Linked DNA regions of Macaca mulatta. The protein of the gene in region 2 purifies or fractionates together with the protein of the main gene of each other region. This does not show direct contact. Links are inferred from orthologs where the notes say so. Each region holds a gene or a part of one and is shown on either strand. Other genes may lie near its edges.

Region 1 (4,354 bases), on a different chromosome or scaffold from region 2:
ATTAAATATATAAAAATTAACTATTCACTAGTCACAGAATTTTAGTGTTGGATGGGACCTTAGAGATCTTTTAGTCAAGTCTCTACTCTGTCAAAATAGTAATCTCTCATCATGCTTCTACTACCAGGCTTTTTGCCTATGTTTAAACACCTCCAGTGACTCACTATATCTCATAAAAAGGCTCCTCTTTTCAAAAAAAGTTCAAATGTTTAAAACATTCTTTTATTATGCCAGAATCTACCTCCTTGTTGTTTCCATCCATTACCCTTAGTTCTTCAGCACTTTGGATTAATTCAACAGATATCTTCTTTGTATCCAAATGCAAACAGTTAATATTTATACTTGGGTTAACAAAAAAAATATTTTTAAAGCCTATTCATACTAGAAGAGTTGAAAATAGGACATGACAGAGCTAAAGGCATGAGAAAATGCACCATTAATTGTGTCTGCTTAATTACACCTTGTTATTTATTAATGTGATATCCAAAACAGTAGTTCTGTTGAAATTGTGTATAAAATCTTTAAACTAAAAAAGTGTGGTGAATTCCAATTTTATGTGAGGTTTGTGATTAATGTCCCAAAACAAAAAACCACTATAGAAAGCCTGAATAAATGCCTCTTCAGCTCCTATTGCCCACCTAAAAGCTGCCTTATTTTCGGGCAAACTAACATTAATTTTTATGACATTAAGCTACTCAAAACTCCTATTATATTGATAAATCATTTGTAAGCAATTTACTGAATCTTCTATTCAAAATTATTAAACAATTCTATAGAGGCTATAAGGCGCACGCACACACAAACCCCTCAGTTATTATTATGCTTTTAACAAAAGCATTTAGTATCACAATCTTACTTCAACCAGTACCTTAAACGAACCAATGAACAAACTTCTTCAGCAATTTACATATACCTAAGAAATATAACCTTTTATTCAGTACCAACACCTGATTCAAATACAAGTAACATATATATATATCATATATAAACCTGTTATGCAATCCAAAAAGGTACCTCTCAAAATGCACCAAGAAAATACTGTATTTATAACAGTTTAGCCTCTGGGGTTAGCTGATTGAAATAGATTAATACAACACATCCAAAACTAAAAAATTCTGTATCTAACAATTTTCAGGGTCCATGAGTCTCTTTTGAGATTAGTTTATAAACTATTTCCTGAAATTTTTATTTAAAAGCAACAGCCTACACTATGCCTTTATGATGTGGTGGTAAAATTGTATGGATAATTACTAATTTGGTTGAAAATTCCTAAATCTAAAAAACTTAGCCTATTACATTTAGAAGCCCCACATCTATAGTGACAATCAGCATCATCTTTTCATTAGTCTCATTTTTTATTATTAATGCCACTCTAAAACACTTATGTAGGCTTTTGGTTCTTCAAATAACAGTTTTGGATTTTCTTTTCATAAGTTTTACACAGTTCTATCCAGTGGCCCCATTTTATCAGTATATTACAAACTGTATGTTTATGGTTCTTACATTGATGACATGTTATTTTTATCTCACCCAAATTCTGGAAATTTTTGGCCCATCAATTCTCAAACACTGGAACATATAAGAAGAGTAATATAATCTCACATTACTTGAGGGAGTTTGGCTTTTCCCTCCCTTAATCTCCAAGCGTACCCCTGCCTACCAGCATCACATCCGTCTTGTCTGCATTGAACCTCAACCAGTTGGTTCTTAACCACGTCCGAAACTCAGCCAGGCACTGGGAGAATCGAGCGACCACACCATCTGGATCAAAGGAAAGAGAGCCTCAGTAGCAAGGAGACAGAAACGAGATACAAGCTCACCATCTACCGTTTCACATGTTTAAAAAGATGGTCGGGAATTAGGACAAGGATCCCATGACAATTTTAGAAAAACATTTAATGAGCCTTAAGTCATGCAATTTGCAACCAATGGTAAAGGAATAAAAGCGACCCAATAAATAGGTCGCCTCATTCCACCCATGAGTGAAGAAGATTCAGTCAACTCCGGGTCATCTCGGTGAAGCGGCCTCAATAGCCAAGTCAATCTTGTAATTACGTAAGTTCTTCTGCAGAAATACAGAATTCTAGCGTTGGAGGAAGCTTTAAATAGGGAAAACTGAAGCCCAGAGAGGGATAGTGACTCGCTCAAGGTCACACAGCATGCAGGGACCACACAGGCTCCAGGCCAGGGACCTAACCACTACAAGCTGAAACAACAAGACTAAAGAGCGGCAAGCATCTGTCCCAAGGGATCCTCCCACGCGCTAGGAGGACCTCATTTCCTCACAGTAATACCCTATTCGAGTCTCTCCTCCCTCCCTGACTCCATTCGAAAAGGGCAGGTTGGCCCAGGGCGCTGCTCACCATAAAGGCTGCAGTGCAAGCGGGAGCCTCCTGGGACTGGGACACAAGTGAGGGAAATACAGGAGAAAGAGGCGGAGCCACAGCGGGTGGTCAGCTTAGCCCCACCCCGACTGGGATCAGGGACCGAAGCGAACGGGGCGAGGCGAACTCACTCCGCAGCGGATTCCCAGCGCGCCGCCGCCACCGCGAAGGCAAAAGGGCGGCGCTGGGAGGTAGTGGGCGGTGGCGGGGAGGGAGCTGCGCATGCGCCTTCGGCCGCCGACGGCGAGCAAGCCAGGCGCGTTCTGAGGCAGCCCCTCCCCGGAAGTTAAGGGTCTTCCGGGCGGTACACTGCTGTGGGGGAGGGGAAGGAGAGAAAGGGGACTGAGGACACCTCAGGAGCCCCTCATCCCAAACTGGAACAGAAGGGGAAAGATGGCTTGTGGAGGCTGCACTTACAGCCGCTGCCGCTGCTGCCGCCGCCACCTTCGCTGCTGCCGCCACCGCCTGAAGAAGCCCCATCCATCCGCCTGCAGCCGGGAGACTCAGAGCCTGGGAGGGGCCTGAGGCCCGGGCCGCCCGCCTCCTTCTTCTAGTCGTCGTCCGGAGCTTCCTCCTGCTCCACCAACCCTCTGCCCTCCCCTCCGCCTCCGCCCTCCTCCTCGGCCTCGTGCCGCCAGCCAACCGCGCGGCCGCTTGTTGAGCCAGAGCTCCACCGTCGCCATGACGCCCGGCAAACATTCCGGATCCTCGGCCCGAACCGCCAACGCAGGGGCTTGGAGGTACAGGGACTTCAGAGGCGGCCAGAAAAGGGGTGGTGGACCACTCCCCAGCTGGTCGCCACCATGCCAGTCTCTCCGGCAGGCAGTCACAAGCAGCAGAACTTCAGGTTGTAAGTTCCGGCGTTAAAACCGTAGTCCATCCCCCTGGGTCCCGGAGGGAGCCCTTCTATTAATAGATATTTCTGGATTTGGAAAGGGCCGTACCCCAACTGGGTTCATTCTCTAGACCTCGAAGCGCCCAGGCGACAAATGGCTCCTTTATCGACCTACCACAGTCTTTAAAAAAAATCTCTACTGGGCCGGGCGCGGTGGCCCACGCCTGTAATTCCCAGCACTTTGGGAAGCTGAGGCGGTTGGATCATCTGAGGTCAGGAGTTCGAGTCCAGGCTGGCTAACATGGTGAAACCTGGTCTCTACTAAAAATACAAAAAGTTAGCCGGGCCTGGTGGCACATGCCTGTAATCCCAGCTACTTGGGAGACTGAGGCAATTGCTTGAACCCGGGAGACGGAGGTTGCAGTGAGCCGAGATCGTGCCATTGCTGCCTGAGCAACAGAGCGAGACTCTGTCTAAAAAATAAAATAAAATAAAATCTCTACTGCTGTGCTTGCTCTGTGAGAAAAGACCTGGTTTGTTTAGAACCATCCTTCCTCCTAGCACTTCTAGTTTGTTAAGGCCTGCAATCTCTCAAGCTTGATGCCTTCATGCTGTGCCCAGACGTTCAAGAGCCTCAGCTTCTGTGAGCCACCAGGCCAAACATTGCTGTGCTCTGTAGTAGAGGTATTTTATTGTCCTCTACTCAATACCATCTTACCTTAAAACTAATTCCTGCTTCCAGCATTCTACTGTTATGCATCAGTTGGACAAGACTGGAGAAAAGCACACAGCTATGTGGACTTGTCTTTAAATGGTTCCTTAGTACTGCCCATAATACTGTCCACTAAGTTCCTCCAAAGTTCCTTAATTACTTGTTTTCTCTTCCCCTCTCCAATCTCCTCCACCTCAGCTAATCTTTCTTCAGCGGAACTTGTTGAGAGTTCTTGGGAGAGAACCTTGCATTCTCTCTCGAATATGGTACTCACGCTTTTGTCCATCCTACCGCTCCACCAAAACAGCTTCTATGCAAGTCAGCAATAGCCATGCAGCCAAATACAATGGCTGATCCACAGTTTCATTCTTTGTTCAATGAAGCAGCGTTGGTCTAGTTTGTTACTTCTTGAGCTTTGAAAAG
Region 2 (2,332 bases):
GTAAATTCTACAACAGACATCTTAGTGTCTTTGTCAGAATATGTGCTTTGCCACATCGACCTTGGATAAAAGCTTGGTGCTACTCCTGATCAAATTACCTACACGACCTTGGGCATGTGTTTAATTCTTCAGGTTCCTCATCTGCAAAACAGGAGTGAAAATAGCCACATGACAGGTTTGGGTAGAGGAGGGGTAAGTTACAACTCTATGTAAGAGAAAATGTAACACTGAATGAAGTCAGTCACAGAAGCTTTTTTGTGATATAAAGGTTAAAAATACATAGAACTAAAAGTAATTTATTTTAGGAATAAGTTCTTAGAAGAAGTGGATGATGGACACAAATTCAGGAAATGGTCACCTGGGTGAAGGTGACCAGGCAGGATATTGGTCAAATTATAGGTCCTGCCCAGGTGATAGTCATGCAGGGTTTCATTCCATTAAACTGTACAGATGCTTTACACACATATGTATATTTCACACACACACACACACAGAGAGAAAACATCCCAGGAGAAACCTCACAAGAATCAGAGAAACATTTCAGATGTGTTAAGAAATATTAGTTTTATTTAACCAGTTTTCACAGCTGAATATTTATTCTATAAAAACTTTACAGATTGTACAGTTTATATATAGTTCAAACTACGGAACGAAAAGGTAGGTCCCACAGATGCAAAAATACTGTACTAATCAATCCAAGATAAAGGCAGATTTACACACTGTACAGCTCTCCACGTGGCCGGGGAGGTGGTCAGTTCTAAGTATAAACTTCAAAACTGTACAAAAATAAGAATTTGATTTTATTTCGCTCTTCATACATTCAATATGATTGCAAGCTCAGAAGCCTAATAATAGGCATCTGGAGTCTGGAGTCAGTACCCACTCCTGGAAGAAGAGCACGTGTCTATCCACACAGGGCACTCGTGGACACCACACTGAGCTCAGTATACTGTATAGACATAAAAGCAGAGACCAAGAACATTAAATGGTGAATATAAGGTAGTTCTTTTTTGTTTTGAAAGGAGTTTTTGCATTTAATAGTGTGCCAAAAGAATTTTAACTTATTAAATAAAATATATTCTAAGTGAACCTAAAAATTACACTTTATAAACATAAAAATATTTTATTTTGGTGTAATACATCAATCATATCTGCAAATAGAAAACCAAAACTGTCTATAAAGTAGTACTTCTCAACCAGCAACAAGAAGCACTTATGTAGTTATTTTTCAGAAGGGTCAGAAAAACTATTTAAAACCCACTAAAGACTAACTTATAACTTAGTCATACTTAAGCTATTCAGTGATTCACTAATACTGCAAAACAAGCTTTCTTCTAGAGACAGTGGTTTCTTCATGTTAACTGGGTAAGAACTGGACATATTTAAAAAAGAAGCAGAAACCAATTGATATCTCAGCCTGAATCCTAAGCATATGTCTGGTTTGAGGGTAAGCTTCTCAGTGGATTTTTCATCAGAAATATTTATCCTAGAAGCTGAGTCTTTTGATTTAGAGTTTCCCGAATCTGAGGTATCTGTACCTTTTTAGAGAAAAAGCCAACGCCTCAGATCACGGTGTCTCTAAGTGGGGCAGGGCAGGTGAGGTTGGCTAATACCCCTGTAGATTCTGCGTTCTAGAAGGAAGAAATGAGGAAAACAAACATTATTCCAGACTTTTCTGTCATCCAAAACCAGTAAAACACAATTCTGTTTTTTATACAGTACTAGCCAAAGAAAACAAAAATTAGAGCTTCTAAGAGCAGTCTAGTGCCCATCTTTATACTTTTACACTTGCGTGTATCTAAGTATAAAATAATGACGTTTGGACAAAGAAGCTTTGTAGTTATTTTTTTAAGGTTACAGTACTTTAAAACTCCTTGATAATAAATAGCGTGGATGTTCCCAGTCCTGCTTCCAAGTGTAAGCTACGGGTGAGCTTGTTTCAGGCTGTGAGAATGGATCAGGGCAACTGGAGCCAGTGAAGTTCTGCTCAGCCCGATCCCGGTGTCACCAGTGGGCAGCCCGACACTCAGAACTCATCGATCTTCCTCTGCAAGTACTTTAACATGGAGTCCATCCCCTGGGCCGAGCCCCAGATCTTCTTCAGCGCCTCACACTCCCGCTCGTTGGCCTGCTCCAGCTCCATCTTCATGTTGCAGCGCACAAGGGCTTTGGATTCCTCAAGCACCTGCGCCGGAAAACAAGAGCTAGTTAGCAGGGTGCGTGCTGGCAGACACGGGTCCCTTGTGCCTCCACATTTATGGAGGCGATCATCCAATTCCAACAATCACCTGTTCAAAAGGTTACCAGACGTTTTCTCACAATATGTCAGGCC
Region 3 (3,653 bases), about 28 Mb from region 2:
CTCTCCCACCAGCCCATGGCCCCACCTCTCCGTCCACACTCTCGGTGGCCATGCACTTGTGCCCCGCCCTCTCGCTGATACGGTCGATTTTGGGTGCCTCCATGCGGCAGCTGCACAGGGGCAACTCCTCAAACCCTCGCTCTGTCTCCAGCGAAGATGTGTCATTGGACACCCCTTGGACGGAGAAAAAGAGGAGCTGAGGGAGGCCCTGAACTTCACCCATTGGGACCCCTGGCGGGTCCTGTCACTCCCTCCCTACCTCACCCCCATGCCCCAGAACCCCTAAAGCCTGGCCATGGACACCCCGGCTCTGGCGTGGTTCCCCTCCTTCCCTTTCCCTCCTGCCCTGAGGTTGCCCCCTAGTGGCTCCCTGTCCCGGCAATTGGCAATTACCAGCGTGGTTGGGGGAGAGGGTCCCCTCGCTGGGCAGCTCCAGGGACCCCAGAGGGACCTCCATGTACTCACTGGGGCCTGAGGAGCCCACACCATTCACTCCTGACACAGAGACAGAGAGAGTGAGAGTGCGAGCTCACAGGTGCCTGGACGCGTGGGTACATGCAGGTGGACATGCGAGAGAGAGCGTGTGTGTGCGTGCACACACTCTGGGGGCTGGGCGGGGGCTGGAGGAGGGCACCCAAAAGCAGCAGAGCCTCCTTACCTCGTGGCTCCTTGGCCCGCGGAGGCTCCCGCTTGCGCCGTTTCCGAGATGGCTTCACCCATGGGCTGTCTTTTCGCCACTTCTTCTTGGCCTTGCGCCGGCCACTGGAACCACTCTGGGAAGGGGGAGGAGGAGGAGTTACGAACCCTCACCCCAAGGGGGCCCCCCAACAACTTCAGGACCAGACCACCAGCCCCACAGTCTCCCACTCCTCTGGAGATATCAGCCTCCGTCTCTTACCCTATCTGACTGATTCCCTGACTCCTCATCTTCCTCTTCTTCTTCCTCTTCCTCCTCCTCTTCCTCCTCTTCTTCTTCCTCCTCTTCTTCCTCCTCCTCTTCACTTAGTTGTTCAGTTAGAGCTTCAACTTCAGACTGGGAGAGAGGCAGAACAGGACATATCCAATCCCCAGGACTCAGACAATGAGATAGATTAAAAAAACCACCACCACCATTGCCCCCCGCCACTACCCACGGATGGCTGCTGGGGAAGATGAGTGTGGGTAGGAGAGGAGAAAAAGGGCCACATAAAGAGAGGGTGCATGGACTATTGCACAGTAGTGAAAAAGGTGCCACAGTTATAGACAGCAATGTACACAGATCTTGGTAATGTGACATTAAATTAAAAAACAAAAAACAAGTACCAGAAGATAAACATAGTTTGATCCCCCTTTTATGATGTTCATAAACAGGCAAGACCACCAATGGTTGCTAAAAACACTAGACATGAAGCTCATGAGAAATTTTATATGAAAGGTTCAGGCTGCCATCACCTGAACCCACTGGTCAATCTTATCACTAAGAAAAATGACCAGATGAGATGTTCCATGCATCCTGATGTGATGTGGCCAGAAGCACTTGCACCCACTGTCAAGTCTTCTTGGCACCTGAAGTCGATTACGCCTCTAGATCTACCAGTTTACAAGAAATATGGGCAGAGAGGATGTGTCAATCTCTACCCAAACAGCCAACGTCATACAGAATGTGAAAAATTCTATACAACTGACCTGGTTTCTTTGACAAATAAATGGCAAGAAAAAAATGTCTTTCTTATTTATTTATTGAGTTTCGCTCTTGTTGCCCAGGCTGCAGTGCAATAGTGTGATCTCAGCTCACTGCAACCTCCACCTCTGGGTTCAAGCAATTCTCCTGCCTCAGCCTCCCAAGTAGCTGGGATTACAGGTGCCTGCGACCACACCCAGCTAATTTTTGTATTTTTATTAGGGATGGGTTTTCACCATGTTGGCCAGGCTGGTCTCCTGACCTCAGGTGACCCACCTGCCTCCCAAAGTGCTGGGATTACAAGCGTGAGCCACCACGCCTGGCCAGAAATTTTTTTTTTAGAAGATGGGGAAACCAGGCAGGTGTGGTGGCTCATGCTTGTAATTCCAGTGCTTTGGGAGGCTGAGGTGGGCAGATCACAAGATCAGGAGTTTGAGACCAGCCTGGCCAACATAGTGAAATCCTGTCTCTACTAAAAATACGAAAAATGAGCTGGGTGTGGTGGCGGGTGCCTGTAATTCCAGCTACTTGGGAGACTGAGACAGGAGAATTGCTTGAACTCAGGAGGCGGAGCTTGCAGTGAGCCAAGATCGTGCCACTGCACTCCAGCCTGGGCCACAGTGTGAGACTCCATCTCAAAACACAAAAACAAACAAACAAACAAACAAAAAGAAGATGGGGAAACCTAAATACCAAGAGAGACCTAAGACAATTTTTTTTTTTTTTGAGATGGTATTTTGCTCTTGTTGTCCAGGCTGGAGTGCGATGGCACGATCTTGGCTCACTGCAACCTCCGCCTTCCAGGTTCAAGTGATTCTCCTGCCTCAGCCTCCTGAGTAGCTGGGATTACAGGCATGCACCACCACGCCCAGCTAATTTTGTATTTTTTTCAGTAGAGACGCGGTTTCTCCATGTTGGTCAGGCTGGTCTCGAACTCCTGACCTCATGTGATCCGCCCGCCTCGGCCTCCCAAAGTGCTGGGATTACAGGCGTGAGTCACCACGCCCGGCCGACCTAAGACAAAAGTTAATCAAATCAAGGTGCGGGCCTCATTTGGATCTTGACAAAAACCCATTTATGAGAGCTGAGGAAATGTGAAGACTGACAGGATGTTTGATGGTATTAAGAAATCAGTAGGCCGGGCGCGGTGGCTCAAGCCTGTAATCCCAGCGCTTTGGGAGGCCGAGACGGGCGGATCACGAGGTCAGGAGATGGAGACCATCCTGGCTAAAACGGTGAAACCCCGTCTCTACTAAAAAATACAAAAAACTAGCCGGGCGAGGTGGCGGGCGCCTGTAGTCCCAGCTACTCGGGAGGCTGAGGCAGGAGAATGGCTTGAACCCGGGAGGCGGAGCTTGCAGTGAGCTGAGATCCGGCCACTGCACTCCAGCCTGGGCAACAGAGCAAGACTCCGTCTCAAAAAAAAAAAAAAAAAAAAAAAGAAATCAGTAATTTTTTTTAGGTGTGAAAACAGTAGTGTAGTGATGTTGAACGACAAAAAGAGGCCTTATATTTATATATATATACACATATGGAAATACATTTAGGTAAAATGATACGAGGTCTGGGACTTGCTTTAAAATAACCTAGTACGTGTGTGTGTTGGGAGAAGTACAGATGGGTCAAGATGGGCTGTGTACTGATAATGGCTGGACCTGTGTGATGGGTACACGGGGATTTCCTATTCTACTCTTTTGATAATGCTTGCAAGTTTTCATGATAAAACGTTAAATAAAAGACAAAACTAGACAGACTAAACATTCTACTGTGTAGGCAAACATAAGATAAAACCAGACAAAGAGCAACGAATAAGCAAATAAATGACAATGGAATGCTTTTGAATTTCATATAAACAGTATAACGTATGTTTAAAAAAAGTGCTCTCTGGTCATTTCCTTTTTTGTTTTCTTTTTTTAAACAGTACATGTTTGTTTAATGATCATTTCATTAGCTGATAAAAAAAAATCGTAAATCCAACGTGCAGGGTGGTGGC

Evidence for each region.
Region 1: the proteins of CDYL (region 2) and MIER1 purify together in Homo sapiens (co-immunoprecipitation; 3 studies listed by BioGRID and IntAct, counting the BioPlex papers as one, with this or other methods). This does not show direct contact. The link is inferred for Macaca mulatta from reciprocal best matches to the Homo sapiens genes CDYL and MIER1.
Region 3: the proteins of CDYL (region 2) and EHMT2 purify together in Homo sapiens (affinity purification with mass spectrometry; 4 studies listed by BioGRID and IntAct, with this or other methods). This does not show direct contact. The link is inferred for Macaca mulatta from reciprocal best matches to the Homo sapiens genes CDYL and EHMT2.

The regions. Positions count from the first base shown.
Region 1 is NC_133406.1:173,690,301-173,694,654, forward strand, and holds the start of MIER1 (mesoderm induction early response protein 1), read right to left. Parts: upstream 2,908-4,354; 5' UTR 2,869-2,907; coding exon of another isoform or gene 2,865-2,868; coding exon 2,802-2,864; intron 2,697-2,801; coding exon 2,516-2,696; exon of another isoform or gene 2,364-2,515; intron 1,762-2,363; coding exon 1,661-1,761; intron 1-1,660. UniProt on the Homo sapiens protein: Transcriptional repressor regulating the expression of a number of genes including SP1 target genes. Probably functions through recruitment of HDAC1 a histone deacetylase involved in chromatin silencing.
Region 2 is NC_133409.1:178,275,212-178,277,543, forward strand, and holds the end of CDYL (chromodomain Y-like protein), read right to left. Parts: intron 2,186-2,332; coding exon 2,027-2,185; 3' UTR 546-2,026; downstream 1-545.
Region 3 is NC_133409.1:150,423,230-150,426,882, reverse strand, and holds part of EHMT2 (histone-lysine N-methyltransferase EHMT2), read right to left. Parts: intron 1,034-3,653; coding exon 899-1,033; intron 774-898; coding exon 659-773; intron 496-658; coding exon 394-495; intron 175-393; coding exon 26-174; intron 1-25. UniProt on the Homo sapiens protein: Histone methyltransferase that specifically mono- and dimethylates 'Lys-9' of histone H3 (H3K9me1 and H3K9me2, respectively) in euchromatin.